3 linked regions of the Caenorhabditis elegans genome follow. The protein of the gene in region 2 purifies or fractionates together with the protein of the main gene of each other region. This does not show direct contact. Each region holds a gene or a part of one and is shown on either strand. Other genes may lie near its edges. The genes, in order: T16G12.1, phy-2 and ccg-1.

The links.
Region 1: the proteins of phy-2 (region 2) and T16G12.1 fractionate together in Caenorhabditis elegans (co-fractionation; one large-scale study listed by BioGRID). This does not show direct contact.
Region 3: the proteins of phy-2 (region 2) and ccg-1 fractionate together in Caenorhabditis elegans (co-fractionation; one large-scale study listed by BioGRID). This does not show direct contact.

What each region holds. Positions count from the first base shown.
Region 1 is NC_003281.10:10,045,499-10,053,668, forward strand, and holds the start of T16G12.1 (Putative aminopeptidase-2), read right to left. Parts: upstream 4,360-8,170; 5' UTR 4,246-4,359; coding exon 4,143-4,245; intron 3,840-4,142; coding exon 3,737-3,839; intron 3,361-3,736; coding exon 3,245-3,360; intron 3,190-3,244; coding exon 3,040-3,189; intron 2,991-3,039; coding exon 2,828-2,990; intron 2,397-2,827; coding exon 2,318-2,396; exon of another isoform or gene 2,248-2,317; coding exon 2,168-2,247; intron 2,117-2,167; coding exon 1,789-2,116; intron 1,738-1,788; coding exon 1,555-1,737; intron 1,326-1,554; coding exon 1,077-1,325; intron 1,027-1,076; coding exon 653-1,026; intron 273-652; coding exon 162-272; intron 116-161; coding exon 1-115. Other genes in the region: T16G12.3 (Nuclear receptor corepressor 2), read left to right, coding at 6,569-6,646, 6,756-6,860, 6,973-7,178, 7,337-7,490, 7,539-7,577. UniProt on the Caenorhabditis elegans protein: Putative aminopeptidase which plays a role in oocyte maturation.
Region 2 is NC_003282.8:12,208,670-12,219,076, forward strand, and holds phy-2 (Prolyl 4-hydroxylase subunit alpha-2), read right to left. Parts: upstream 7,319-10,407; 5' UTR 7,318-7,318; coding exon 7,240-7,317; intron 7,195-7,239; coding exon 7,109-7,194; intron 6,521-7,108; coding exon 6,103-6,520; intron 5,805-6,102; coding exon 5,583-5,804; intron 5,541-5,582; coding exon 5,298-5,540; intron 5,012-5,297; exon of another isoform or gene 4,991-5,011; intron 4,762-4,990; coding exon 4,691-4,761; intron 4,586-4,690; coding exon 4,486-4,585; intron 3,925-4,485; coding exon 3,871-3,924; intron 3,634-3,870; coding exon 3,568-3,633; intron 2,871-3,567; coding exon 2,772-2,870; intron 2,726-2,771; coding exon 2,543-2,725; 3' UTR 2,428-2,542; downstream 1-2,427. Other genes in the region: marb-1 (Isochorismatase domain-containing protein 1), read right to left, coding at 24-201, 259-338; F35G2.3 (uncharacterized protein), read left to right, coding at 1,039-1,125, 1,588-1,872, 1,919-2,068. UniProt on the Caenorhabditis elegans protein: Catalyzes the post-translational formation of 4-hydroxyproline in -Xaa-Pro-Gly- sequences in collagens and other proteins.
Region 3 is NC_003282.8:15,268,714-15,280,069, forward strand, and holds ccg-1 (Conserved Cysteine/Glycine domain protein), read right to left. Parts: upstream 7,092-11,356; 5' UTR 7,049-7,091; coding exon 6,998-7,048; intron 6,944-6,997; exon of another isoform or gene 6,923-6,943; intron 6,708-6,922; exon of another isoform or gene 6,684-6,707; intron 6,610-6,683; exon of another isoform or gene 6,589-6,609; intron 6,497-6,588; exon of another isoform or gene 6,476-6,496; intron 6,327-6,475; exon of another isoform or gene 6,306-6,326; intron 6,127-6,305; exon of another isoform or gene 6,106-6,126; intron 5,945-6,105; exon of another isoform or gene 5,924-5,944; intron 5,349-5,923; exon of another isoform or gene 5,328-5,348; intron 5,133-5,327; exon of another isoform or gene 5,112-5,132; intron 4,893-5,111; exon of another isoform or gene 4,872-4,892; intron 4,557-4,871; exon of another isoform or gene 4,533-4,556; intron 4,531-4,532; exon of another isoform or gene 4,509-4,530; intron 4,372-4,508; exon of another isoform or gene 4,351-4,371; intron 4,233-4,350; exon of another isoform or gene 4,212-4,232; intron 4,084-4,211; exon of another isoform or gene 4,063-4,083; intron 3,830-4,062; exon of another isoform or gene 3,810-3,829; coding exon 3,187-3,809; intron 3,180-3,186; exon of another isoform or gene 3,152-3,179; intron 3,000-3,151; exon of another isoform or gene 2,979-2,999; and 11 more. Other genes in the region: Y73F8A.5 (uncharacterized protein), read left to right, coding at 1-94.

The sequences.
Region 1 (8,170 bases), on a different chromosome or scaffold from region 2:
TTGGGCAAAAACTCCATAGGATGGATAGTTAGTGAACGATTGGGTGTTGAATATAACTTTTGCCAAGTCCAAAAAACGATTATATCCGAATGGGCGGTTTGCTTTCTTTTCACGTCTGAAAGTTTAAGTTATTCTGCTCGAAACAAGAATGGAAATCTTACAGCATGTAATTATATTCATCGGCAAGAAGAGTCAACTTCAAATTATCGTTGATATCGTCTTGCTTGATTAATTTCAGAATTCGATCAAAACCGATGTCGTCGTAGATGATTCTGAAGTGGTCATTCGTTGATAATTATTTGTTAAAACTGATTTCAGCCAAATTTTTGGCACATTGCCAATTAAAAAAAAACAAATTTTGTTTTTTTAAAATAATTTCGAAAATTGCTGCAAGTTCAAACTCCTATAATCTTAAGCCATTAACACTATGAACAATTCAAATGCAATTAAAATATTAAACTCTTGGAAAAAATGCTGGTAACGTCGAAATATATGTTAGGTAAAAAATGAATAATAGCCACTTTTGACTATGAATGCAGAAGTTTCAATTTTTTAAAGGATGTTTTACTGCAATATTTGGTTATTTCAACACCAAATGAATAGTTTTAAACCTTCCCACAAGACAATGCTCAACTTTTAGAATAAAACTAACCTTCCATAAGTGGCTGAAGTGATCGAAGTGAGCTCCCATTGAACAGCTCTCTTATTGGGCTCTTTGATACGTTCCTCTTGAATATTTTCATTCATATTTGCACATCCTTGTTGTCTTGGAAGCCACTGTTTATAAGGATCCGCATGTCTTAAATTGGCAGATGTTAATGGAATTGACCAAGTGTAATTCCATGGAGTTGCAGTCAAATCGGAAATATCCAAGAACGGTTCTTGGCTGAAAGTTGATCCTCCGATTTTCTGATTGTTATTGTATCGAATAAGTGGATGATTGGTTTGATGTATGTATGGTTGCATGAAATCTGTCACATTCAATGGAAGACCACACCAATCCAATATATTATTTGATTTTGCGGTCTGAAAAAATAGGGCTTACTTAATTACTCCAATTAGTTAAAAACACTTACATCAGTTAAGGTGGAGAACAAGTCAAAATCATTTGCATTTGAGTATTGCATCTTTTGTAAATATGCTCGAATTCCTTGTTTGAAAACATCAGCTCCTAGAACATCTGAAAGCATTCGAAGCATTGAAGCTCCCTTGTTGTATGTGATATCATCGAATGCAGGTCCATCCGGATAAACTAATGGATGAGCATCATATCGGACGTCTGCGGTGAGCCCAACTTGAAGCTCGTCAAGCACTTGAAGAGTGTCCTGAAATCGAATAAACTTTGCATTTGAAGAGGAACAGATTATCAATTTGTAAAAGTTATTTAAAATTTTTCTAATTTTAGATATACGCTTGTGGAGATTTACGATAAGCAGATTTCTCTGTCAGTTTTAAAATTTATTTTGAAAAATTAATGTAAAATCTTGTTGGTGTCAAATATGAGCCAACAGTCTAAAATGAAACTGAATCTAGGATTGAATCCCAAAAACTTACCAAATAAGTTGCTTGCTGTGGGTAGACAGATTTTTGTATAAAAGTCATAAAATAATCAGCGAATCCTTCATTCAAGAACAAATCATCCCACCACGCAGTTGTCACAAGATCTCCAAACCATTGATGAGCCAATTCATGACACATAACTTTAGCAGCTGCTTCCATATTTCTCGTCGTCATTGTCTAAAATCCCATTTTTCCATTTCATTTTCTACATTTTTTCAATAGAAATACCGTTGGATTATACGCAATATATTGGTATTTGTAGATTATCAATCCCCAGTTCTCCATAGCACCTGCCAAGAATTCAGGCATTCCGAGTTGGTCAGCCTTTGAGAGTGGGAATTTAATTCCAGTATACTCTCCTAATTGGTACAAGCATTCTCCAGCATTTTGAGCAGCGAACTGAAGATATTGTTCAGTTCCAGGCCATCCCCATGCTCTTGTCAAAGTGTTATGCTTATTGACATATTGAGAATTCACATAAGGCCCCACTGCAAATGCAATGAGATATGAAGACATTTTTGGTGTTTGTGGGAATGTAATTGTGCTCCATATATTACTGCAAAAAATTTAAATAAAGTCTTTAAAAATAATTGTTTGATAATCATACTCAATTTTTGTAGGTTCTGTTTCCATCATATTTGAAAGAGCAACTTGGGAAGCTGGGTATTGCACAGTGATTGTGAATTTCTGAAAGTGTCACAGAATAATTTTTCATTAATTTTAGTTGTTTTGTCTAAGATTATTCTGTAACACTTACCGCTTTGTAAGATGGTTCGTCAAGAGATGGGAAGACTTTTCTAGCGGAGAACGGTTCCATATGTGTAGCAATCATGTAGCTAAAAAGAGGTTGAGTCGAATCAAGAAATCAGTGTGAAAATATTGACTTCAGCTATCGTTTCTTGAAGTATATCAGCACTGGCTGGGCTCAGTGTTTTTTATAGACACGTAGGTGGCAGGCCCCAAAAATGTTGTTTTATGCCTACCTTGGCAATTCGACAATTATGTTGCCCAAAACATTTAACAAGTGATGAGCGATAAAAAAAGAGCTTCAAAAATTTCGGCAAATCGACTACATAATAATCAATCTGTCAAAGTACGGTACTCTTAATTAGAATTTTATTTTCCAATTTCGAGTTTTTAAAAAGCAGAGGTCGCTCCCTTAACCGATATACTCTTAATCTAACAATAAATTGTATGTTTTCTGGAGAGTTTACTTGCACAAAGTTACAGAATTTCGCCACCACTTTTCTACATTGTTTCCCCTTACTGTGTATTTCCTTGTGGATCATTATATGAAGTGTAGTAAACCCCTCCATCCGTGTATGGATTGATAATACCGGTGTAGACAAATTCGATGTTGTAAATTTGACCAGCGACCACACCATTTGCATTTGTAATCAGTGATAACTGTTGCGTAGTGTCATCTTGTGCTATAAATCTTTTCTTGTATTTTTTATCAATATACGTTCAATTCCTTACAAATTGAGTTGATTGGCACTACAGTTCCATCGATATCAACCACTTTGTAGCTTTGAATTTTAAAGTTATAGGCATTCAGAATGAATCTGTCCGATGCGACCAATGCTTCCACTTGTATCGATGCTCTTCCGTCGAATGTGAAGTTTTTCTCTGTAATACTGATGTTAACTTGCATCATTCGAAAAAGTAATAAAAAGTTTAGTACCTGGTGCATATTGAACTCCAGGGCTTGGGAAGTATGGTTGGAACCATAGACTATAGTCAATGGCATACAGATTTGGTGGGAGACGTGTTTTTGTTACATAAAGGCTTTGGCGTTTTCTGGAAATTCATTTTTCATTATTTTTTGTAATGATTATGTTTTCAGAGCACAATGAGTTCTAGAATAAAAATTTCAGAATAGTTGATAGCTGTCACATGCAAGATACGGCATCTTTACGAAACTTTTCTTATCAATTTTTGCAATAAAATTGAACATTTGAAAACAATGTTTCGAGTGATTTTTGTTCTATAACAACTTTTTTTGCCAAAACCATTTTACGTCGTAGTAAAAAAATTACGATTCCAAACTCAAATGAGGCAAAGAGTAGTGTAATTATATGTTCAATAATTTTTGCACTTTTCACCAAAATTAAAATACTGTAAATTTAAGAACTTGATTTTAAATATTTTGATTTTGAACTAAAAAAGAAATAACCTGGCTGCAAGTTTATCCTGTCTAAAATTATCTGGGTGTTCCGGCAAGATTGATGGATGATTGAATTCGACTTCTTCCAAATTTATAGTTTCAGCATGTCCCTCTGAAATGAGAAATTACTATATTGTTCCTTCTAGTCTATTTTGTAACAAGCTTAGCTTTAACGGCTCAGTGAGCCATAGTGGCAATAAAAAATGCCAAAATTCTCACATTTTCACGTTAGATTACTTTCAATTTTGGAGATCAAGTAGCTTGTTGAGTGGGACATTCTCAGCTTCACATAGAAATTCAAAATTCACAAGGGAAATTCGCACCTAGTTTAACTTTTTGTAAGCACATATAGTATCAATTTTTCAAATTATGGGGGAATGTGCAGTCTAGCGTCATTATTAAAAAGTAGACAAACCTGTGAATTCAGATTCCAAACCAACATTATTCGGTGCAGGAGCAGTGGAGATCAAGCTAAAGAGCCCAATAAAACAAAGTAAGAGAAGCAGTTTCCGCCGCATTTCGTAGTCGGCAGCACACGAAATGAAAAGAGTAGATTATACAATCCTCTCGCGATTTTATCTTTGAAATTTTGAGTTTGCTCTCCCTATTCCGGAGCACGCAGCAGCCACTGTACTTTCCTTATCGGTTTCTGGGATGTGACATCACAACGAGATGACAAACCTAATTATCAATTTTATCACTTTTGACACACTTTTAATACTAATTCCCAAAATGTCAGTTCGGGACAGAGTCCGCTAATTGGGGAATCGGTAGTGATGCTGGAGAATCTCTAGAGCATTTAATGAAGATTACAGTTTTTAAAAACAAATGTTCGCAAATACCGCAAAACCGATTTAAATCCAATTTATGGTTTATGATGTGATTTTTTGGTTCTCCTTCCAGAGTTTCTAGTAATCAAAAGATAGTAATGACTTTTAGTCTCACTGATGACTGGTTCAAGTGCTAAGTCATCAATTTTTTATAATTACTTCATGTTAAAAATTTAGTGAATGATGGAAAAATATCAGTGGGCATTTTTTTAAAAGATATTTTATAGTAGTTCAAAAACCCCATAAATGTTGTCACTTGGGCTCCGCAGAGCCCGTCCGTCCCAACTTTGCGGATATAGGCGCTTGGTCAGGTTCACCCACGAACCCACAATCACCATCCGCATGAGTCGCTCACTCTCTGTTCCATTCGTTCACTCAGAAACATTCCATTCTTTAATTAATTAAATATTATTATTTGAATTACCGCCATTTGCGTATTTCCTAATGCAAGTGCGCCCCCCCCCCCCGCACACTCGCGTTATTGCGGAGCGTCGTACTCCCGTAAATCCACACAAATATTCAGATGCCTTTTTAGGCCAACTCATTCAGTCTTCACACGTTTCACCACGGATGCCACCCGTCCCCACGTCATCCGTTTGTTCCCGTTGATAATTCCATTTATTTATTCAATAATAAACTTGGATTTATCTAAAAGTGTACTGTTATTCCCTCTGCACCGCTCATCGTCATCCGCCGTTCGTTCAAGCTCCGTGTCCTCCGCGCGAACACACATTTCGCCGTTCTCACCCGTTGGGTCTGACTCCCCAGCGACTGCGGGTGTCAACATTGGTGCATCGACCTAACCGGCTCGTGAATCACTAAGTTCCGAGCCGGAAACGGATCCAGAGTCAGGGAGGCACGTGGCGCGGCTTCCAGCGGTCAGAGGTAAGTCGATTTCTTTCAATTATCGCCTTTTCTAGGTTCATTTTCGACTATCCCATTCGAAAATGGATCTTTACAGTCATAAAAAGCTAAATTTTGACTCTATCATGCTCAAAATCTGGTTTTATTTGTCAATTTTCGAAAAAATTTCGACTCTCCCGCTCGAATTTCGAATATTTGTCGTCCTCCAATTCATTTTCGTTTTTTCACACACGAATCTGGATTTTCTACGTGTAATCTTGATTCCAATTCGATTATCACACTCGCAACTGGTATCATTAGCCTTTTATCGCTCTCAATCACGAGTTTTCCGCGTTAAAATAGCTAAAATTGGTCAAAAAATCTTGCGTAATCTTGCGTAAACTCGATTCTGAAGAGAATCTCCCCCCGGAGCATCCTTCTCTGAAGAATCTCGATGAAACTACCCATTTTTCGTCGTTTTCAGCTCAATTCCCTTTGCTTCGTCATAAAATGTGCTAAAAATTCAGTCAAAATCTGAAATCTAGGCTCAATGTCTCTGCTCGGCCCTCCCTTCCGCGTTTAGATAATTTTATGTCGACAGATGATGCAATTTCTAGGATTAGCTGAAGTCAAATTGCGATTTATCGCATTTTTGTCGTCATTTTCGTGTTCAAAGGACTTGTTTTCTCAAGAAAACCGCGTGGCGGGTCCATCCTCGTCGATTTATCTCTTTTCAGCAGAGATTTCCTCCAAAATCTTCGTTTTTGCACAAAATTTCGATAAAAATGATCTGAAAATTCAATTTTCCCTCGATATCTCCGCAAATTTATCTTTTTTCCAACGATTCCATCACAAAATCCACTGAATCACCTCTCAAAACCTTCAACAGTTGGAATTAAGATTCTTCGAGGAGTACGGTACGCAACGGTGTATGCACAGATTCTGTGTACACCGCGACGCGCAACCGCACACTCGCAATTTCGAAATCGAATCCCAAAATCTTTCGTCATGATTTTCGTCGATTTTCGAATATTTTTCGCATTTCTTTTTGCATTTTAATGATTTTTTATTAAATCTAAACATTTTCCGTCGATTTTTTACGTCTCCTCCTCCTGAGACTCGTAATTAATTCGTTTTTTCTTTCAGAAAACTACTTGCTCGACGGAAAATGTCTTCAAGACCCCCATTCGGCATTGTCAAGCCGTCCAAACCAACAGGCAACCCTTCAAGCGGCTCCTCCGACTTGGTAAGAACTTAATTATTTATTTCGTTATTGTCAAAAACGTAAAGAAAAACCTTGGTCGCAGGGGAACCCCTGACCTATTTTTTTCCGAAATAATTAACTTCTTTTACAGGATTCCACCGCTGAGCCTTCACCTCACGAGCGCAGAATGGATTCCCAAAGAGCATCGTCTGGCTCGGACGTCCATGGCCACCCTTCTCTCGGATCACAGAGCCATGTAAGGATTTTATTTTTTCAAATATCGTATCTCAAAAACGTAAAAGAAAACCTTGGTCGCAGGGGAACCTCTCGCCAATTTTTTTCCTGAAAATAATAAAACTCCTTTGCAGAACTTAACTTCTGCTCAGTCCGAAGGCCGCAATGCTCATAAGGATCTTCACGAGCGCCATGTCCATCCTTCACAAGGATATCAACGTCATGGATCCAAGGCTCCAGCTCATGGTCACCCTTCAAGCCAAGGAGCACGAAGGTCCCAACACGAGTTGTCAAACTTCCCGAAACTTCTGGCCAACCTTATGCAGGATACAAAAGCCACGTAAGATTTTAATTCAAAATCCCACAGCGATTTCAAAAATCAAAAAATTCGCTGATCACAGGGAATCCATCTTCAAATTTTCCCATGGAATAATTAATTTCTTCTTCGGGAGGTTTCAGCGTAAAACAAATCCTCTCCAACAGAGCTTTTAATTGCAGGGCATCTGCCAGTTGTGCATCCAATCAGGACACGCTACAACCGACTGCTTCCACTATGTCGGATGGAGAGCCCGAAGAGGACAAGGTGAAGCTCTGTGGAAACCGCCTGGAAGTCGGAGTCACCGACAATCTGGCCGGCACTCAGCGCCGCAAGGTGAGATATAGCCAACATCCTAATGAAATTCCACCCTCATTTCTTTAGGAACAACAACAGCTGCAAGGCGCTCAAGCCAAGAAGTAGCAGGCCCCACAGCGCGATGTCAACCTGAGCGAGTTTGCTACAAATATAAGCTCTATCATGGCTCACCTTCTTCGCGAAGATAGAGCAGAGTCCAGAAATATCAAACTCTTGGGCTACGTCTGGGATTCTAGCGACATCATCTATACGTTGTCTACAGATAATTCCATCTTGGACATTGATCACCAACCCAAGAGAGAAATAGCCTTCACACACTCTCTCTTAAATATATCAAAAATCGTAAACAGAATGATACCAATCAGGTGCTCAATGTTTCCGGGCAAGTCTTGGAAGGACCCCAATAACCTCAAGAGGCCTTCCATTGCGAAAGTTCATAGAACCAATCACGCGAACGAACTTCGCACCGCTAGGTTCAAAGCAAACGAAAAGTGCTACCTACTCTCCGTATGCCAGCTTATCTCACTTAAAAATCCTACTTTCCAAGGATTATCAGACTCTCTCAACTCACCAGGAGACAAAAAAGTGGCCGCAGAAAAGCACACCTGCGAAGATCGCACACGACGGCCAACATTCCCGCTCGATGCGTTCTGCAGTACCCCGAACGAACAATACGAGACAATGCTACTCATCGCAAA
Region 2 (10,407 bases):
TGAACAAAAATCTGAAAATCTACTTTCGTCTTATCAAAGATCGGAGTATTCTCGGCGAGACCTTCTTTGAGAGTTGGAACTGTGTGTCCGAGACCCTTTGGATATTGTTCAGTAACAATGGTTGGAATACTCAGGATTCTGGCAGCATCGATCAATCTACGCGAAGTTGTAATGATTTCTGGGAAGTATTTGATATTTGACCTGAAAATAATTAAATAAATTATTTTTGCTCATAAACTAGTTTCTTTCAAAACTTACGCGAACTTCTCTTGAAGATCACAGACGAAAAGAGCACTGTTCGTTGGGTTGATACGTGCGATCAGCTTACGCGCAGCCATCACCTGAGGAACAGAAATCAATAAAAAGTTGAGTGATTCGAAATTAAATAAATAAAAAACAAATGCAAACATCCACGTAAAACACAAGGATTTGACAAAAAAAGATAAATAAATGGACGGCTTTTCAATTAAAAAAAAATTTCAGAGAACAAAAATTAGTGTAAATTTACGGTAAACAACGCGCGATTCGTAATCTCGGAGTGTCGTTGCTTGAGTTTGTGGCGGTTTTTCAAATTTCAAATTTTTAAAATGTCTACTTTCCTGTTCAAATACTGATTTTCTACGTATTATTTATAATATATTAATTGTAAAATGTTTAAAGGCTCTCCAGGACAATTATAACATTAACAATTTGTGTTCACACCCTAAAAAACATAAATTCACCTGTTGATTCCGTGAATTTTCCCAAAAGGATGAAACACTGCACTGCATAAAATAGTTATATTTAATAACCTATTGATCAATTGATCACATTGCCCTGTATGGATAATTTAGGCAGTAGAAAGTGTGGACTACAGTCACTAATGCCAGGAGGCAATTCCAGCTCTTATTGATTCACGAACGCGGCTGAAACACTTGACCCGTTGACTAAGACGACCGGCTCATTCATTCGTTTGTTACTTATCTTATAAGACAATCTTTTTATTTTATAATGTCGTGGTTAACTAATATCTTTCAAGACGGGAATATGACACTTTCAATGGATAATTTCCCGATTCTATTCGGGTTACTGTACGCGGTTACTGTAGCTCTGTTAATGTTGCAAATAGTTGAGGAAAAGGCAAAGGTAAATTTTGTTGTTTTTTTTTATATTTTTGAATATTTTATTAGCATTATCAATGAAATTCTCGAGAGTCTGAAAATTTCTCAATTTCAAAAGTAAATTCCAATAATCGTGTTCCCCTCAAGCTATTTATTGGAGCCCCTCATAAAAAATTAAGAGGTGTTTAAAGCTGAGAAGATTTATTAAATTTTAAAATAGACAGTAGAACGGATCGAATTTTTTTTGGGAAAATGTGTTTTTTTTGAAAAAAATGCGAAATATTTTATTGGAAAATGTTTGACTTTAAAAAAAAAAACTTTCGAAAATTTGGTGAAAATTAACTAAATTTTCTTTGGAAATTTTCCCAGTTTTACTTTCTAGAGGTTCACTAAATTCCTGAATGCATGCCAAAATGTATAGAGCTAGGTGGTAGGCAGGCATGTAGGCAGGCATCTTGACATTCTTTTTTATATACAACGTTTGCAGGCTCATTACCAACTAAAATTAATGTGCGAGTCTAGTGAGGAAATGATTAAAGAGCACCAGAAGGAGATGAAAATAGAGAGAAGTAAAATCAGCAATCATTTAATCAAAATTCGAATGCATCAAAGAGATTTTGTGGCAAAAATTGGTGGACTTCAGAGAAAACTGAAAGAGCGAAACGAGGTGATAAAGGAATTGAGCCAAAAACTGGAATCATTGGAATTTGCGGAGGAAGATGCAAATGAGTTGGTTGATGATTTGGTACAAGCCAGAAAGATTATTAAAGAGGTTCGGATTTCTTACATGGAATTAAATTTTAAAACTATAATTTCAGAAAAACGAAATGATTGAACTGCTTAAATTCGAGATCGAGTTCAACAAAACAAATTTCCAGAATGACTTAAAGAGTGCGTTGCAAGGAAGTGAAGAAGAAAATAAGGAAAATAATAAAATTAAAAGTCTTTTTAAAGTTAATAATATTTAATTTGTCCATATAATTTTGAAATAATTTTTGATTAACTTAATAAAGTATGGCAAGGAAAAACTGTATGTATCAGGTACAATTACATGTTTGTTAGAGTTGTTGGCAGGCAGGCACGTAGGGAGATATTTATGCTGATTTGAATCGAATCATTTTTAATCCAAGCCACAACCGTGATTTTTTCACAGGATTTTTAAATGTTGGACTATATTTTGAATAGGTAGGAACATAGATAGGCAAGATTATAGTCATGAAGTAGACATGACTATAATCTTGGTTTGATGTAGGTTTGATGTAGGCAGGCATGAAGCAGGCATAAACAGCTTTGAATTTAGATTTCAGAATATCAAAAACTCATTCTTTAAAACCAGAACACTTTCATTTTTTGGCGATCAAATAAAATATTGGAACCGTGAAACACCAGTAAGCAACAATGAAATTAAAAAAAAAAACAAAAAAGAGAGTAAAAAATCAAATCTATGGATCATTGGCATATGGGGACAAATCTCCAATAAAGTTCTCCTGAACTTCCTCCTCCAATCCACATGGTCTTGTGAATTCTTGTCCTTTCTCGTGAATCCATTTATTTGAGACCCATTTAACTCCTAGAAGAACTGGACAAGCAGCATGACGGGTACGAAGATCTCCTTCTCCATCTCTCTGAAATATTTCCAAATTGCGAGGAAAAATAGAAATGAACACTTACTCTAAGATTATACCAGAAGAGAGCATCATTTTTCGATGGGAATACAGCAGTTCCAAGATGATTGAAGACGGTTGCTCCTCCGCGTTCTGGTTGACTCATCTGAAAAAAATTGTTTGGTTCAAGGAGAAACAGAGGGTTCGTTCTAGTTATCTGACAATGTGTTTGATCTACAGTAACTGTCGGGTTTTCGCGTCTGTAAAATGTGACGTCACACACACTTTTCTCGTAATTTAGGTCAGTACCAAAAGGATATAAACATCAGTTTGTAAACTTTTCAAATATTACTATTTTTTCATCTATTTATTTGTAAAAATTATGAACCCAATAAGTTTGAAAATTTCAAAAAAATCAAAATCTTGAGAGTGAATGTTTGACTATATTTTGAACGATTTTTGCTCTTTGAGTTTAAAGTAAATTTTGATATTGTTATTTTCAGTTTCGAATTTATCGAATTTCCAGAAGTAGGCATTAGAAAATACATCAGTTTCAGCTAAACAATCATAAAAAGAAGATAATTATTAGATTAAATAATAAAAATTGTTCGATAGAGCCAAAAAACTATAAAACCTCATTTTTAAATATCAACAGTAAAATTTTAAGACCCCTTAAAAATTTTCCGTTTTCTCACAGCTCCCACGCGCTAAAATCACAAATTTAAAAGTTCAAACGTTAAGATTCCATCACATACTTTTGGATTAGCACACCTCATGCAATAACAGCTAAAGAATTTTCATGCAAATAAAAAGTTCGTGATGGAATCTTATTAACCATTAATTATAAATGAAACATGTCTCACATAGAATAAAACAGTCGCAATTCGGTTTCCAGTATTGAGCGTCTTGAATGCATTCTTCTCTTCTTTCTATAAAATACGGAAAATTAAAATTGAATCGAAAACTCACATAGAATAACACAGTGGCAATACGATTACCATTTCCACCGTACGATTCGGCAGTTTTTCTCTGAAAATTAGCAGCAAGACAAGTCAGCAGGAAGGCAGTAAACCAACCAGTGACATGTCGTAATGTGGTTCATAGTGACCACCGAGACCGTAATTTGCAATCTGAAATTATAAAAAAGAATTGAAAATTGTTATTACCCGGGCAAAGTCGAAATGTGGGTCGTAGTGACCTCCAAGACCGTAGTTAGCTACCTGAAACAGCAACAATTTTGTTGAAAATATTATAAACTTTAATTAATATTTTTAGTAAAACTTGGGGAATCCTCTAATGCCTATATTCTAGGCTGTAGGCATTGAAGGCATTTTAGACCTTTTTGCTGATGTGACTAGCCTAGAAAACTCAAAAATGGACACAAGGAATTTTCAATTTTTTGTAAAAAAACGAAAATATCTAAAAATGGAAATTTTAAACGATTTTTCGATTTTTAGAATTTCAAGAATTCTTCGAGTTTTGTCTTTGAAAATTAAAAGTTTATCAAGAAAGTCTATGAAATAATTTAATCCCCATTTTACATTTTCTCAAAATTACGAGAAACTGGCAACTTTCGAAAAAATAATGTAAATTCATTGCCCGAGAGGATTTCACAAGGAAAATATATAACTATAGTGCGCATTTCCGTTTCAACACAAAGTCGGCAAGCACGTACCTGCCTGCCTGCCTATCTAACGCCTATCATAAAGGCATGAGGCAGGTACGCAGGCATTTATGTGCCTTCTTAAAGGCCTTAGCCATGTTGCAGGGCTCTTGCTTACCTGAAGCTCCTCTGAAGTAGCCTGGTTCAAATTGGTGAAATCTTCAATTCTTCTGTTGACTCTATCAATAACTGGATCCAAATCTCCCTTCAACCAAGCACTGAAACATTTTTGATTCAAGAAATTTGATAATCAACTTGATTTAGTTAATCTTTCAACTCAAAATAAATCAAACAAAACCGTTCCAAAAAACTTAAGCACAAACCTTTTTGAGATACGGTACGTGGCATGTTCCAGCTCGCCAGTTTTCGAATTTTGGACAGTTGCTCGCTTCAGCTAAAAAATAACACACTTCAGGCAACAAAGGAGAAAGAATAGAAGTTGAAAAAGAAATCAGTAAGTCAAATATCTAATTTTCTAAGTTCACAGCATGTTACTGTACAGTTAAACGTTTAATACCTTTCACCTCTTGGCAATTCGATAGTCTACAGTAACCAGGCTACCATCAGAATCCTTTACTGTAGCACGTTCTAGCTTAAAATTATACAATTTCTAGTTTCAGTATTGTACTGAAAGGTATAGTTGCGTGAGTGGGAAGATTGTACTAAAATACCCAAAATAGTCAGAATTTCAGAAATACCACACAAAAATCGATATTTGAACAACATTATTTTTCAAGGGGGTTCTCATTTTGGATGATGTTTGGAATTCGAATGAAAATATTAGTCACATTTGAAATCTAGCAATTTCTCGATTTTTGCCATATTTTGGTGGTATTTTGGAATTTCAGTTTCTTTTTGTATTTTAAAACAAAATCCCCATTCACCGTACTTTATTTCTAACTTAACTATCGAATAATCTAATTTTCGCACCTTTGGAGAAGCCAACTCCTTGATAACCTCGATTTCAGAATCATGAATGACATTCTTGAAAAGAACAGCCAATGGATCGAATCTAAGAATCTCGACCTTGATTGGAGCAAGCTTCAGGAATGGCTTGTCTCTCTTCAGATAACATCTCAGCTTGTTCTTCCATTTTGGCTCAACTGGTGGAATCTCTCCCCGACACAAAGCTTCATATGCATCTCTCTCAACAATTCCATCGTACTCAACTCTCTGCAAACAAAAATTTAAATTATAAAATACTAAGCAAAAAACCTTGTTAACAATTGGTGGCAAATCTCCAACCATATCCTTTCCTTGAAGCATGTCCTCATACCATTTCACATTTCCTTTGGCTCTCGGGTGATTTGGAGCAATTTTTGCGAGTCGTTTGGTGAGAGAAAGTGCACGACGAACATTTCCTTGTTGGTAAAGAGAATATGCAAGATACTCGAGAATTTCCCATTCCTCAATTGTTGGTGGGTTCTCGTTTTCGATCTGGAAAATGTTTGATTAGGATTTGTTGTTGGAATTTTGCTATGGAAAAAGTCCAGCTTAAGGTACGATAGATCATCAATCAAAAAATTGAGTAAGTACAAAGAAACCACCGTTAATATGATAGTTCTCGTAGTGGTGCATAATTACAAATCTCAAGCAGCAAAAAACTTACTTTTTATACGAATAAATGGAGTTGAAAATGCTTTTCGCTTCCTGCGTGCCTGCCTACGCGTTTAAGTGCTCATATTTTTTGGTTTTAGGTTCGGCTTGAAAGCCGTATTTTCTAAACCAGGCTTACCTTAACCAACGCAACCTGCATCCACATCAAGCAATGATAATAATCCTTCTGGTTATATGCAGATCTTCCAACTTCAAAAGTATCATGTCCAGAAAGCTTATTAGAAACCTTTTCTCCTCCAATAATACCATTTGACAAATCAAGAGTATCAAGACTGTAAGTATCCTGGAGTCTCAGAAGAGCAGTTGCTGCTCCACTCAAATCCTCTTCTCCTGGGAATTTGACCTCACTACGAACTCGGTTATCAGTGATGTTCTTGAGGAAAGTTGAAGCTTTGTTATTCAACATTATATTTTCGACTTTCTTCCATTCGGTTGTTAATCTTTTGATGAGAAGATAAGCATTGATTGGGTTCGTCACAAATTCTGGACCAACTGATTCGGCGTGAGCGTTTCGGTGCACGTATTCGTGAGCGTATCTGTAAAATGATTTGTTTATTTGAGTCACCTTGATGTCCGAAAATGTTTAGTTTTTGTTAAAGTGAGACTTTCATGATATCACGTATTTCTTGGTATTGGCGAACATTTTTATTCTTGGTGTGTGTACAATTTAGAAATTTAAGAATTTTTTGTGGCGTTTTGGTGGCCCTTGCGGACTGTCTAATCAAAAATAACTTGTTAAAAGTTCAATAGATTTTGTGTACTTTGTCAATCGGTAATCGTGTAGGCAATAGACAGGCGTAAGATGTGCCCACGTGGAAGACTTTTTATCAAAAATTTAAAAAAAAACCTATATTTCGAACCTACCAGAGGGGACATTTGATAAATATGGAGTTCAATCAATTTTGAATCAAAAACTCAACAATCAGCAAAAAACTAATTTTTACTGTAGCAAATGTTTTCATCTGTTGAAGAAACATAACTTTATTTTCTCCCAACACATGAAAATCAGAAAATTTTAATTCTAGATTCTGAGAATTGGAAATTTTGTTATAATCTACAATTCGGTTACTAAACGGCATTCTATCCCTGGAACCTACTCAATTTTGCAGTTCTACAGTACTCACCTCCTCAAGTCATCCAGCCTGGCTCTCTCTGCTTCGATATATTGGTCGATGATTGTTGTTACATCCTTCTCTGCTCCCAGCATATGCTGAAATCTCTAACTTAATTACATAATCATAGATTAACTACTCACCTGCAAATCAGCAATTGCAGTGAACAAATCTGCATGAGCAAGTCCTGCCAAAAGGCAGACTAGCAAAACTGCTCTCATTCTGAAAGACAAATCGATTTGTTTCCGAAATTTGAAAAGCTGTAGAACGTGAGAAATAGGGGGTCAAAATCAGTGCACAACTGACATGTTCGAGGTCAAAATCGGTGGCGAGAGAGTGAGAGACTACGAGAAAAAGATGAACACAGCAGATGAGAAGTGTAGAGAGCAGCCGTCTGCACCAGCACTTTTTGTATATTTTTACAATTTGAGGGGGGATGATGATGAAGAGGGAGGTGTACGTGGAACGGATGTTGAAGTTTATAAACAAAAGTTGCATTGTGTGACACATTTATATGAATATATTTATGAAAAAGAAGAATAGACAAAGAATAATAGAGTTTAGCATTCACCTGTCAACCTTGTCTGGAGGCAGGATAGAGTTAGGCCAGACACCGCCTGTCTATATGGGAAAAGTTCATTCCCATTTTGCCAGTAGGCACGTCCGTCGCCTTGTAGGCAGGTAGACAAGTATGTACCTACATAAAGGCCTACGTGATTTATTGTGTGATCCTTTTTTCCTTATCTCTGGAGCTTCAAAAAATGGTTTTTTTTTTCAGAATAATTTAATTCCAAGAGTTCTAAAATATGAAGGAATAAATCTAGATGAAACCGCAAAAAACTATCTCTTCCAGTTTTGATTAGTGCCTCAAAGACCAAATAAATATAAAAGGATATCTGAGGTCACCTTAGATCTCAATCTTTTATAGATTACCACTACAGAGATATAGATGAACTCAGTATTTTTTTGTGGAAAATGTATGTGTTCAAAATGCGTTTCAAGCTTTTTATACAAAACTTTAAAAAAATTATTCAATTTTTAGGTTCATAGTGTTCCAAAACTGTATGGTCATCTGATTTTTGGAAACATTTCACTTGGTTATGCCTTATTAAAATTCTGTAAATATGGTTAATAGAGAATAGAAAATGGTAAAAATATACTAGATAAAATGCGAATAAATAATATTATTTTCAACAGCAAGACAGATTGATAACCCTTGTTTACAGCATGATGATTTCAGATAAAATGAGGTTTCTTAGAATTTTTAGAACTATAAATTTCAAAACCTGGACTAAAAAAGTTAAATGATACACTGACATTCGATTTTTAATTTTTACATTTTCAAGTTTGATTTTAACTAAAAATACAGAATGTACACATTCCTAAAGAATATAAAACCTTCAAACTTTGGAATATATGTCAAGATTAATAGCGGATTCGCTAAAAAAAACAGAGAAAAGCAATCAGACCGTCTAAGGTGATGTGGAAGTCTTTTCGCCGCGTCGCGCGATTCTCGAAGAAGAAGAAACTTCCTGATTGCCTGCGTTTCCGATCTCTCAATTAGATTTTGCACGTAGGAACGGACGGTGTCTTCTCGATCCAGTGGATGATTGACCTCCATTAACAATACCAATAACTAGGTTGAATCGCGCAAGATTTATGGATGACGTGGAAATGAAAAGAATGAAAATGGGAAGGTGAGGATAATTGGAGATTGATGAGGAAATTGGGTATTAATTAGTTTTCAATTTAATTAAATTAATTAGGGGGAATTCAAAGTTTTGAGTTTTCTTAACCAATACATGTATTGCAAAGTCAGATAAAAAGCTAAAAGTAGAAAAATTATGATGAAATTCTTTAATAATCATAGAATTTGAAAAAAAAAAGAATCAGATAAAACTTGATTTTCAGCGTTTTCAGCTATAGACTATAGTCTAAAGCTTTGATATATTTTCATAGATCTTTGCTATTTATTAAATTTATTAAATTGATTAAAACAAAAGTTAATCTTGATTTAGACGGAGTTTGTTGCTCCACTTCCAAAACGATAATTCAGGTCTTGAAAAAATTAAATAAATGTTAAATGAATTTCGGTAAATTTCCTGACAATTTCAGTGTGCTAGCAAAAGCATAAATTTACTTGTAATGGTCCAACATCACCGAAAATCACAATAAAACAATTAAAAACTTTTCTGAATCACCTCTACGATTTTTGAAAGGTTTCAGTCAAAGTTTTGGTTTGGTACACTTCCTAACCTAATATTAAATGAGTCAATTGAAAACTTCCAAATTTCTAAAATAAAAATTTCGACACATTTGGAAATATTGAAGAAATGTTGCATTTTCAAATCACTGTGACATTTGAATGCAATAAAAGCTGTGTAAGAATAGTTAGAAATTTGTTGAATAAACATTTTTGGATATCTTCTGAAAATATATATAGGAATAACTGGCGATTTGCCACTTTTTGACTTAAAAAAAGGCAACTTTTCGGACTGAAAAACCAAAAACGGAAGCTGAAAAGGCGCGAAGCCGCTGAAGTGTGTAGATCTTTATATAAGATGGGGGCGCAGACGTGAGAAGAAGCCGAGACGGTTTACACCCTGTCGCACAGTCTCTCTCTTCCTCCTTTATTTCCAACTTCTACGTGTCAGATGCGCAGTCGACGTGCATATTCCGATGCCTACGTGACTGTGATGCTGCAGTTTGGTAGTAATGTTTGTGAATAAGAAAGAGGATGAGGAGACGCCACCACTCGATCAGCGGGTGCCAGATGGTGAAAGAGAAAGACCAGAAGCACTAGGCAACTGGGAGGAGGAGAAGCGGATTGAAAAACTTTCTGAGGATGTGATGGATGAAAGGATATTTGGAAAAGGAGACAGAGACCGGTATTACCGGAAGAAAACTATTAATTGTTTTACAACTGATACGGTTTCTGAAATTAAAAATATTGGAAATTCATTTTTCCATCGTTGAAAACAGGGCGAACAAAATAAATAGGAAGAAGTCTAACATTTAATAGTCTTCAAAATGATTTAGATCTAGACTTAGGCAAACCTACGTAGTTGGTACTGCCTGCCAATGAGGCAGCCTATACCTACGCGCCTAGCCCAATCTTAACCTTTCAGGTAGGCAGCTAAAGTACCAACCATTTTCCAAAACAGGAGAGATTTGAATTACTTTTTCAATTTCCTTCATCAGCATATTGATATGATAGAATTGGCAAAAGAAATCTAAAAAAAACGGAACTGGTCAGCTAAACAGGTTTTCTTTCTCGCTTGATGGGCAGAAAGGCATCCAAATCTAATGAA
Region 3 (11,356 bases), 3.1 Mb from region 2:
GCGTCGATCAGCTCCAAATAACTCGAGAACAACATTAAGAGATCATCGGGAAAATGATAATGCTGCGTTTATTTCATTGGACAGTGAAGACTGAATACCGGTTTATTAATTTTTAAATGTTAATTTCAAAATCATTGTTTCTTTTTTTGTGATTTCTCATATCCCGTCCATCACATTTTGATTTTCATTTCTATGATTATTTTCCCCGTTTTTTTAAAATTTAATTTTTTTTCTGGGTTTTTTTTTGGAATTAATTGTTCATTATTTCATCTCTAGAATTGCCAAAAAATTTTTGATTTTTTTTGCGAAGTTTGTTCAAATAAATATTTCATGATTGTTTAAAAAAATTTTAGTAAAAAAAACTTGTGTTATCTATCAAATTAACACTTTGAAACATTAGAAAAAATAAAAAGGCTAAACATTTTTTGCTTAAAGTTTTAAAAATACTTTCTCCTGTTTTAAGTTATTTTTAAAATTAGTTGTTACACTATAGAGGTGATAATTTCTAAAAAATAATCTAAAAAATATTTCAAGGCTTAACAAATGAAAAAAAACAACCAACAATCCAACAAAAATATTGTTTGAGACAGTTAAGCTATACGCGAGTTAAAATTAAAGTTTGATATAAGTACGGCTCCTTTTTAATTTTAGTACTTTTAAAGTACTCTTTAATTTTTTAATAAAAAAATAAGTGTAATTTGATTACCGGACTAACAAATTTTTTCTATATGGCATAGCAACAAAATAATGCAATTTTCATGCACATTTCAATTTTTTCTGTTCTGTTTTGTCGCAAATCCCGGTAGATGTCGGCCGCAGACAATACCCCTTCATTAGAGAAAAAAAATTAAAAGGAATAGAAATACACAAGTTCTTTTGTCAAAATACAAAAACGTGTGCAACAAAACCATTCTGGTAATAAAACCAGAAATACTGTTTCATAAAAATTATATGCTGACTCGAAATTGAAAATACTACTCACAATATAAATACAATTGTTCAACACATCTGGAATTCTGAGAATTGAGTAATGCTGTTTGCTATAAGTTTTATAAACTATCTGAAACAGATGATTGTTGAAAAAAGTTTATTCAAAAATTGTATCTTATCAAATCGCAAATTTTTTTTGGCCAAATAATATACAATACACGAACTGAAACTAGGATTTCATAGGGCTTCTATGGAAGGCAGGCGTGGTTTCAAGGCCTGACGCCTGCCTGACGCCTGCCTGACACCTGCCTCCTCACTTTAATTTTGGCGTGAATTTACATGAGGCGCGGATTGAGGCGAAAAGCAGGCGACAGTCGCCGCCCTAGCTTTTATATAAATAAATAGCCCTAGCTTTTATATAATAAATATCTGTTCGAGGTATCTGTGTCTCCCAAATCGACTACGGTAGGGTACTGTAAAGACACTGCAAGTGGGTTTGATGCTGAACAATTAATTCATTCAGTGCAAAATTTATTTGGTCCAAATTATTACACAAAAAAACCCAAAAAATAAATGTTTTTAGAATGTATATATATTGGGCAAGAGTATCAACATTAAATGTTTGTTTTTAATTGAAAAGTTCCAAAAAAAAAATTAGTTAGCTGGGCACTCAGGTCCACGTTCTCCTTCCTTGCACTTGCAGTCAACATCCTTCATTCTTCTCTCAGTAATATCACGTCCTTCTGGAGTTTTTCCAATAACACAGAGACATCCTTTTGGTCTTGGGAAACATCCTTCCTTAAGCCCCTTGAACTTGTTCTTTAGCTCATCGACGACTGCGGCGTAGTTGGCTTGGGCGCGCTCTCTGTAATAGTTTTTGATTAATTTTGATAACTTCTAAGACAGATGAAACTGAACACGAGAGAAATTAGAAAATTTAAAAAATTTTACCATTTTTTAAAGTTTACGGGCTTTGCGAACTTTTTGAAAGCATTACCCAGAACTTTTACTTTTTCAAAAAATTTCCACTGTTTTATATTTTTTGTTAAAGAGTCAGAAATAGTGACTGCAATTTTGAACATTTAATTTAAAATATAATTTGGTACAAAACATATTATCTTAGTTTTTCATCGATAATTCAATTTTTTAAAAAAATTAGAAAAAGCGCTAATTTGTTACTAAAATTTGAAACCGTGAGTATTTTTTAAGCATCGAAGTTCGAGTTTTGAATTCAGATTTTTGACATTGTGTAATATTGATTTAGAAAATTTTATAAAAAATATTTAGAATAGAAACTTATGTGAAATAGTGATAATTTTACGATAAACATTTTTTGGGTTTAGATTGTGGGATTTATTCAAATTTTCGGAAATTTTTGACTGTAGTTTCTTAACATTGAGGAAATACTGATTATAAAATGTTTAAAATTTGAAACTGTGAAAAAATTTTAGTGCGAAAATTGTTTTCTCGAATTTCACTGCTTCAAAAATATTCAAATTTTCAAAATAACTGGATTTATGTCTATAGGAATTTTCGATTCAAGTTGAAAACATAGAGGAAATGAAATGCAGTGCACTAGAACATCCGTTTAAAATAGTTGAAAAAAAACAATTTACTGTTTCAAATCTTTTTTAATTATTTTCATTCTAGATTAATTAGTGATAATAACTGCATGTTCAATTCAAAAAATTCCAAACGTTAAAAAAACACCATTAATTTTTTTCCAATTCTTTATTTGACTAGACTGGTTCAACACACCTTGAACTCTGGTTATTTGTGTCGTGTACACATATAAATTGGCCAAATGATTTTGCTCTTTGTGTACAAAAATGTATTTTTGGTAACACCATCTATAAATATAGATTTCTAATTTTAAAAATTGAAAAAAAAACATTATTTTTTCGGAAGTTAACGAGACAATATTTGCTGAAACAATATTTTGACTTCAATTTCTAGCTAAAAAGAGCCAGCTGAAAATTGGAAGAAAATCCAGAAAAAACTAATTCTGAGCTCATTAATTTTTTCTTAATTTCAAGTTTTCAAATTGGATAAAATAACCGACTGTGGCATCGAAAAAATAAATTGTTCAGAAACTCGTACAAATTATCTGAAACAGGGTTTTTATTTCAAATTTTTCAAAATCCTGGAGTTTGTTGAACATGCATTCGAGAAAAAATACTGTTTCCAATAGTTTGTAAATAGTTTTAAGTAATTTCTTGTATCGATGCTGCTGACTTTTTAGTTGCAACAACTAACCTCACTGGATCTCTGACGTCATAATTTGGCTGAGCCTGCTTCACATCTTTCACATTAGCTCTGGCAATATTGGCTGGTTGACGTTGAACTGTTGCTCCGACATCTCTCTTTCCACGAACTTTGCATTGATCTGGGTTATTGTAGGCAGTCACAACTTCATTTCCATTGGCGTCTTTCTCATTGCACTTGCATCCACCGGAAGGCTTTGGGAAGCAGTTTTCCTTGAATGCTCCGAATTTCTCCTTAATCTCCTCGTTGAGCTCTTTCTTGTGCTCAGCTGTCACTGATTCAATGGATTTCTTGCAATCAGCGTCTGCGGAGTACTCGGCCACCTCCTCACCATGTCCAAGATCCACGTTGCACTTGCATCCACCCGATGGTTTTGGGAAACAGTTTTCCTTGAAATCTCCGTATTTTTGTTTGATTTCTTCGTTCAAATCCTTCTTGTTCTCAGCTGTGGCCATTTCCACAGACTTCTTACATTGATCAACACTGTCATATTCACGGATCACAACCTCATCGTTTCCCTCCTTGACGTCACAGGAGCATCCACCGGCTGGAATGATCTTACAGTTGTCACGGAGCACAAGTGTTGGACCGGAGGCATCACGACGAACTATGGCCTTGAAGAATACTAATTAAATTAGTAAGAAGCAAGCAGGTTGATTGATATAGAATTGTTGAAACGGTATCTTTTTTTAAATTTTCTATTTAAAAGTTTTGCAGATATAGCCTTGACAACAACTTTTTTCTTCAAAAATGAGAGATATTTCAAAAAAATTTCCGTGTTCAAAACTAGGAATCTTAGATTTAGAAAAAAAAAACTTTTCGTACTGTGTTATCGAATTATTCGTCTTACGAAAATTTGGATTTTTGGAAAAGACTATGTCTAGATTACTATGAAAATAAGGGATACTCGTATTATATACACTTATTGAAACTGTAAAAAAATTTGAAACCTTTTCACATTGCAACATAAAGTAGGAAGCTGATTTTTTATGTGCTTTGGTTTTTTTCCCCCAAAATTTTCCGATTAATTCCGATTAACGCTGAAAATAATTTGAGTGACATATAAATAAGGAATAAGAAACTGTGGAAAATTGGAACTATTGAAATTTATGTTCGAAAATAAAACTGTATAAAATATTCAAAAATTGGAAAACTGTTCCGACATATCCACGACCATTATAAGTTGAAAATTCAAGCTGCTACTAACAAAGAAAAGGAACAGTCAACACATTTTCCAACAAAAAAAACCGTTTTTGAAATTCGGGAACTGTTTCATATATTACATTTAAGCGGTACAGCTGTGCAGGTTTCAATTGTTCCATTAAAAATTTTCCCAGATATTGCCGTATCGTCAGTTATTATAAAAATAAAGGCAACCCAAATGATATGCACTAATTGAAACTGTAAAAAATTTGAAATAAAAAAATGTAAAGAAATTTTAAAAGTTTAGTTCAGAAATTATTTGCAGACGTCTCTGATACTACTTCTTGTTTAAAAAAATCACTCTACTCATAAAAGTTACCTTAAAATATTTTGTCTCTTGAAATATTAATGAGTTGTTGGGTTTTGTAAAATAAGAGAAAAGTTGATTTGGTCTGAAATTAATTTGAATTTTTGAAAAAATTGTTTGCACTTTCATATAATGCATTTACGTAGTACAGTTTTGAGAGTTATGTTGAGATGGTGATTCTTAATTTTTTCAAAATTAATTAATTTGACAACGCATTAATCGGTCAGTCTAACTAGACGTCTCAAAAAGTTGGAACTGTTTGAAAAACACAATGAATTACCTATTCAAAATTTTCTTTATATAGAGACATTAGAAAAAAAAAAGAAAGCTAAAATTTCTTTCAATGTGCCACAATTTTTCCCGTTTCAAAATGTCTAATAAGTTGTTACAATATAATCGGAGACAATCGTGATGTTTAACTCATGAAAAATTAAGTTAATGTTATTTAAATTGATTTTATTTAACAAAAAACTAAGGTCAGAGAAATCAGTAATAATAAAAGAAATTTAACTCTTATAAAATATCTGAGAAAAATGCGGCACACAATTTGTAAAATCAAACTTTTTTAAAATTCGATCTGTTTCGTGTTATGCATTTTTCTGAATATTTGAAAAAGTGAGGCTTTCAATATCATTTTTAGTCAAATACACTATTAAAACTTTGCTCAACACTTCCCCTTCTCTAATCTTTTGTTCAAACTCCCGTGTTCCTTCCGTATTGATCACTACATCAAATTGAAATGACGACAATCGAGCGGGGAAAAATGAAAGAAATAACAGCAACTGTCTCTTTTTTTCTCTCTTTCTTTTTTTGATAACACAGAGTGATAAATGATATACTGAAAAGAAGTATCTAGGTGAGGGGGAAGAAGATGAGATTTTGTGTCGTTGTCTGTTGATTACACTACGCGCTGAAATTTATGAGCACCAGGAGGCCCAGGGGATACGTGAAAGTTTGGGGGAAAATTGTTGTTTTTTTTGAGCTCGAGCATTTTTGAATTTGTTCCAAAAATTCTGGAGAAATCGAGTGAAATTGAATGAAGTTAGAGGTAGTTTAGTTTTGAGTGAAGCGGAGCGGTCGCATCGCGTATTGACCGCAACTTTCAAACTTTTTGCAATTCGATAATCTAGCTGATAGCTTGTATAGAAATTTTTGAAAAAAAAAATTAGCGAAGGTTTCAAGTTCATTTTTTAATTTACAGTGTTTGGTGACTTTTGCTCGTACGCTTAAACTTGCAAAATCCAAGAAAAAAACCGAAATCGGTACCCAAAAAATGCAAAGCCTAGTTTTTGGAATTTGTGTAAAGTTTTGAATTCTAAATATAACAATTGGTGTTTCAAAAAAAATTTGGTTACAGTTTCAACTATATGATTTATTTTTTTGATGTTTTGCAACTTTAGTGTCATTACATTAGACCGTTTTAGTTCGAGAAAGGTAGTTTAGTTTTGAGTGATACGGAGCAATTGAGTTGCATTTCGAGAGCGGCAACACAGCCGAAACTTTCCAATTTTTGTGTAATTCGATAGTTAATTTTGGAAAAAAAAATCAAAGAATGTTTCAAGTTCATTTTTATTAATTTGCAGTATCTGATGACTTTTGCTTGTTCAAAAATAGTAAAATATTAAAAAAACAGAATCCCAAAAAAGGTACAGCATAGTTTTGTGAATTTGTAAAAAGTTGTGAATTCTAAATTAAACAATTGGTGGTTCAAAAAAAATCAGATTACAGTTTCAACTATATGATTTTTTTTTTGATTTTTTGCAACTTTAGTGTCATTGGATTAGACGCTAATTTTTGTGTAATTCGATAATCAATTTTGGAAAATAAATCGGCGACTGTTTAAAGTTCTTTTTTTTTAATTTGCAGTATCTGATGACTTTTGTTTCTTCGAAAACTATTTACATACGCAAAAATCCAAAAAAAACATTAGGTGCAGTTTCAACAACATGATTTATTTTTAGATGTTTTGCGACTTTAGTGTCATAGCGATACGTTCTTATTTTGAAAAAATTTAGATATATTCTTGCAGTGTCAAACAAAAATTAGTGTAAAATTAGTTGCCTGAAGCGTCATGATTTTTGCCAAAAAATTTCAAAATGTTTGGGCTGCTCTATACTGATACTGATGATATATTGCGTATCGACCGCGACGCAACCGCACCGCGTGCGCCGTGGCCTAACTTGGATCAAAATTCACTAAATAAGCCGAAAAAATATAAAACAAAGTATGAAAATGATATCAATTTAGGATAAAAATCACTTATTTTTTACAAAGAACTCGAAACAGACTAACCTGAGAAAGGGCAATCAAAGCAAGAAGAACAAAAAACGAACTCCTCATCATTTTCGCTTGGCTGTCAAGATTTGTTTTGTTGACAACTAAGAGCGACCAGCCGCCGTCGCTCAGACGTTTTATACACTTTTCTTTCGGGGTTTTCTCTTTGTCTCTCCGCCCTCCATAACTCCTATTATCCCTCTCAAAAAAAGGGCGGAGTTGGAAAGGAAAAGGTTTTTGTTATTTTGATATCCGGAAGAGGTCGAGAAAGTGTTTGGGATTTTTTTTTGTAAACGAATTGAATCATTTTGTTGTGAAATTTGAGATTCTGCCACATGATACAATGTGTCACTGGGTGAGTCATAGGGGAAAGTAATAACATATCAGTTATCAGCCAGAGGTCAAATTTACAGAATAAAAAATACTGACGAAAAAATGAAAGTGTGTTGAAAAACCGCTGAAGGTATTTTGAGAATGCTAAAAAGTAAAAGCGAAGAGAAACCAACCAATGGAAATGTGTTGAAAGTTTTTGTTTAGAAAATTTTGTGAAACGGTAATTTTAATTTAATTTTTTCTTACTTAAAATTTCCTAGAATATAGTTTTGAAATGCCATTTAAATTAATATTTTAAGCATATAAATCCTCGGATTTTCTAAAATTTTCTAATCATATGATCTAATTGTTCAAAATATTTTATAAAGTTTAAATTATTGATTTCAAATGAAAAATACCCAAAAATCCATGTTTCTTTTTTATCCTTTTTTTTCAAAAATAACAGACTTATTTAGACTTATGAAAAAAAACTTATTAAAAAAAAACCATATTAAAAAATAGCTTTATTTCACATTTTATATCAATATTTTGAAACCGCTGAAGGTACTTTGAAAATGCTAAAAAGTGAAAGTGAAGAGAAAACAACTAATGGAAATGTGTTGAAAGTTTTTTTAGACGAAAAGTACCAAAGAAGCCAGATTTTCTTTATTTTCAAAAATTTCTTTTTTTTTGTCCTACGTATATTTAAAAACTACTGGAAACATTTTTATATTGAAGTTTTAATCAAAATTTCAGCTAACAAACTCATTTAGACTTATGACATTTAATATGTTAGTATTAAAAATAACGTTATTTCACATTTTATAACAATATATTGAAACCGCTGAAAGTACTTTGAAAATGCTAAAAAGTAAAAGAAGAGAAACCAACCAATGGAAATTTGTTGAAAGTTTTTATTTTGAACATTTTGTGAAACAGTGATTTTAACTTTATTTTTCTTACTCTACATCATTTAGAATATAGCTTTGAAATCAAATTAAAATTTATATTCAAAAATTAAATTTAACGAAAAACTTGTGACTTTTTTCATTCTACTTACAATTAGACCGTTTTTCCTTTATTAGTCTTTTATTAAAACAGGAAATACGGTAATTAAAAACTGTAAAAAACATGTTTATGCAGAAATTCTCGATTCAATTTTTTATTTATAGAAGCTGACGATTATTAAAATTGCAACTTGAAGTTGTAAATCAAAAGTTTGAAACAGTACTATTTTTTCATTGGAATTGTGGAAAAGTTCAATTTTTGGAATTTTTTGAAAATAGAAAGGATGTTATTAAAAACTGCATGAAACACATAATATTGGAATGGTAATTTTTTAAATTAAAATTGCGACGATGCTCAAGCTTCCCCTTTTTCCACCTCCGAAAAAAGAGTATAATTTTGGAAATCTGTTTAAAGACATTTGAAGAATGAATTATTTTCATTTTCAATCGAAAACGTATTTAAAAAGTATATGAAACAAGTTCCTACTGAAGGCTACAATAAAATTGAAAAATATATGTACTATTAATAATATCAACAAAATTTGAAAAAAAATTAATTAAATTTTAATATCGAGGTTTTGAAACTGTAAAAAGTGTTTTTATTGTGTGAAAAATGATATGAAAACGCCAAAAATAAATAAAAAAACCCCAGAAAAATACAAAAAAATTAATTTTAGTTTCCTCTTTCTACAACATATACATATTCAAAAGCGTGGTTCATTTTTATTTTTCTTTTGTTTTTTTTTCTGATGTTGTTCTGAACTTTTGAATTCTGAATGAATTTTTTCTAATGAAATGTTTTATAAAACTTTTACTCAGAAACGTCAAAACAAAGACTTGATACTTCACATTCTAAAACATTAATTTGAAACGGTATTTTTTTTTCTAAATTTGAGTTGTGGCAAAGTTCAAGTTGCTGAATTATTCGTTCTTTTCCCACGACTAATACCGTACAAATTCGCAATATGTTTCTGTTGAATTGAATTGAATTTGAATTCTGTTGATTTAATTTTTGGTTCAAAACAATTTTCAATACAAACCGTGACTCACCACTGACTAAACTAAACTAAACTAAACTAAAAATGTTTTAAAAACTTCCTGAAACAAGTTTCTATTGAAAAATTTTGCTTAAATTTTTAAAAAGTTCTAAAACACTCATCTAGTATTACCGGTAGTATTGTTAATTAAAAATCGAAATTTAGAAAATTTAAAGGAGAGTGTGAAAGATTTGGACTTGAACTTTTTGTTAATTTTATAAAAAAAATGCTTTCAATTTCCTAATGAAGTTTGGAGAAATCAATGGACCTAATGAACAAGTATTTGACTGCAAATCTTCTGAAAAATAATCCTCAAAACCAAAAGGTAGATTCTTTTGGACATTGATCAAAAGTAAATGAACGACATTCAAAAATTCATATATCACAATGTATTGAAACTGTAAATATTTTGTTTTTTTATACGTTGTAACGTTTCAGTTGATTACAAGGTTGTCCTGTATTAAGTGAGATTGATGAAACAGTGAATAAAATTTTGTATTATCTTAAAATTCAAATTAAGAATCTGAAATACATTTTGAATTATCTGAAATAAACTTTCTAAAAAATTCAAGGAAAAATCTATGTCAATTGCTGCAATTATAATGAAGTTTTAGTTTCAAAAAAAAGTGTCTTTAAAATGGAAATACTAAAGTTTCATTTTTAAAAATGTGAAAACAGTGCAATATTTGGTTTATTTTTTAAATCAATTTTATGAAATATCTCCATAATGTTTCAAGTAGTTTTCAAATAGAAGAAATTCGAACTATTTGCAATAATTTCCCATTTTTTAGATATGTTTAGATTTCATTTTTAGATAACTTTTCTGTTATTATTTACTTTGTTTCTGTAGAAAAAAGTTAAAAAACCTATATATTTAAGTTTTTGAAACAAAGGGGTTAGAAAAAAATATTTGTTTCTGTCTACTTGATCGTCACTATTTCAATTTTTAGAAACAAAAAAAATTTATTTGAATCGGTAAATGAGTTTTAAACATGCCTTGATGGTTTATTGAAACGTTTTAAAAAAATTTTCAATTGCTTTAAAAAGTTTCTGTATTTTTTTCCAGTTTCACAATGTTCATTTATTCTGTGTTCAAAGTTACAGTTACTAACTTAAATAGATATACAGAATTGAGACACATTTATTTTTATACATTGTAAATTTTTAATGCAACATCCCAAACTTTTTCCATACGTTTACGTAACATTCTCTTAAAACAGGCACATTTGGTTCCACTTTTTTATTGCAAAAAATGAAAAGATTTGAGAAAAGTATAAGAAAACAATTTACAAAGATTAAAATTTTCAATAATTAAATTGAAAAAAATTGTTTCACCATGATGGTAAAACATTTTTCCTATATTTGAGCTCTACTGCATTCCGAATAAGCAGATCAAATATCAACTTAAAATATTCAAGTTTTAACAGACTCAACAAACAGTTTTTTGAGTTCAAGCCAGCACCCCATTAATCTCACTTTGATTGCAATCGGATGTACTTTTCAAAATCGCACTCACCACACTCATTTCGAATTCGATAAATTCATTTTCAGAACTTCTTCATTTATACAATTAATAATTAGTTGCTTTAAAAACAACAAATAGAAACAAATTAAAACGGGATAATTCTTAATTTAAAAAAATTAGCACTGAAAATAATTTTCAACAATTAAAAAAAGTCGGTTAAAAAAATAATCGTTTTCAATATTGTGAGAAATTATCATCACATTTTCATAACATTGATGGATTTATTCATTTTTTTCAAATGAAGATTATGTGATTGAGTTGTTCATAGTGAAAATTAAATGTTTCCTGTCTTAACACTTATAAACGATTGCTTTCTCGTTCGAATCCACTGAATTTAGTTTTTTTTTTCTTAAATATCTAAAACAATAGGTTACATATTCTGCAATGCGTTTTTGTTTTTTTGATTTTTGATTTGGAGAAATATGAATTTTATACAATGTTTCTTACATTGTATAAAATTCATATTTCTCCAAATGTTTTTTTGCTGAAACAGTAG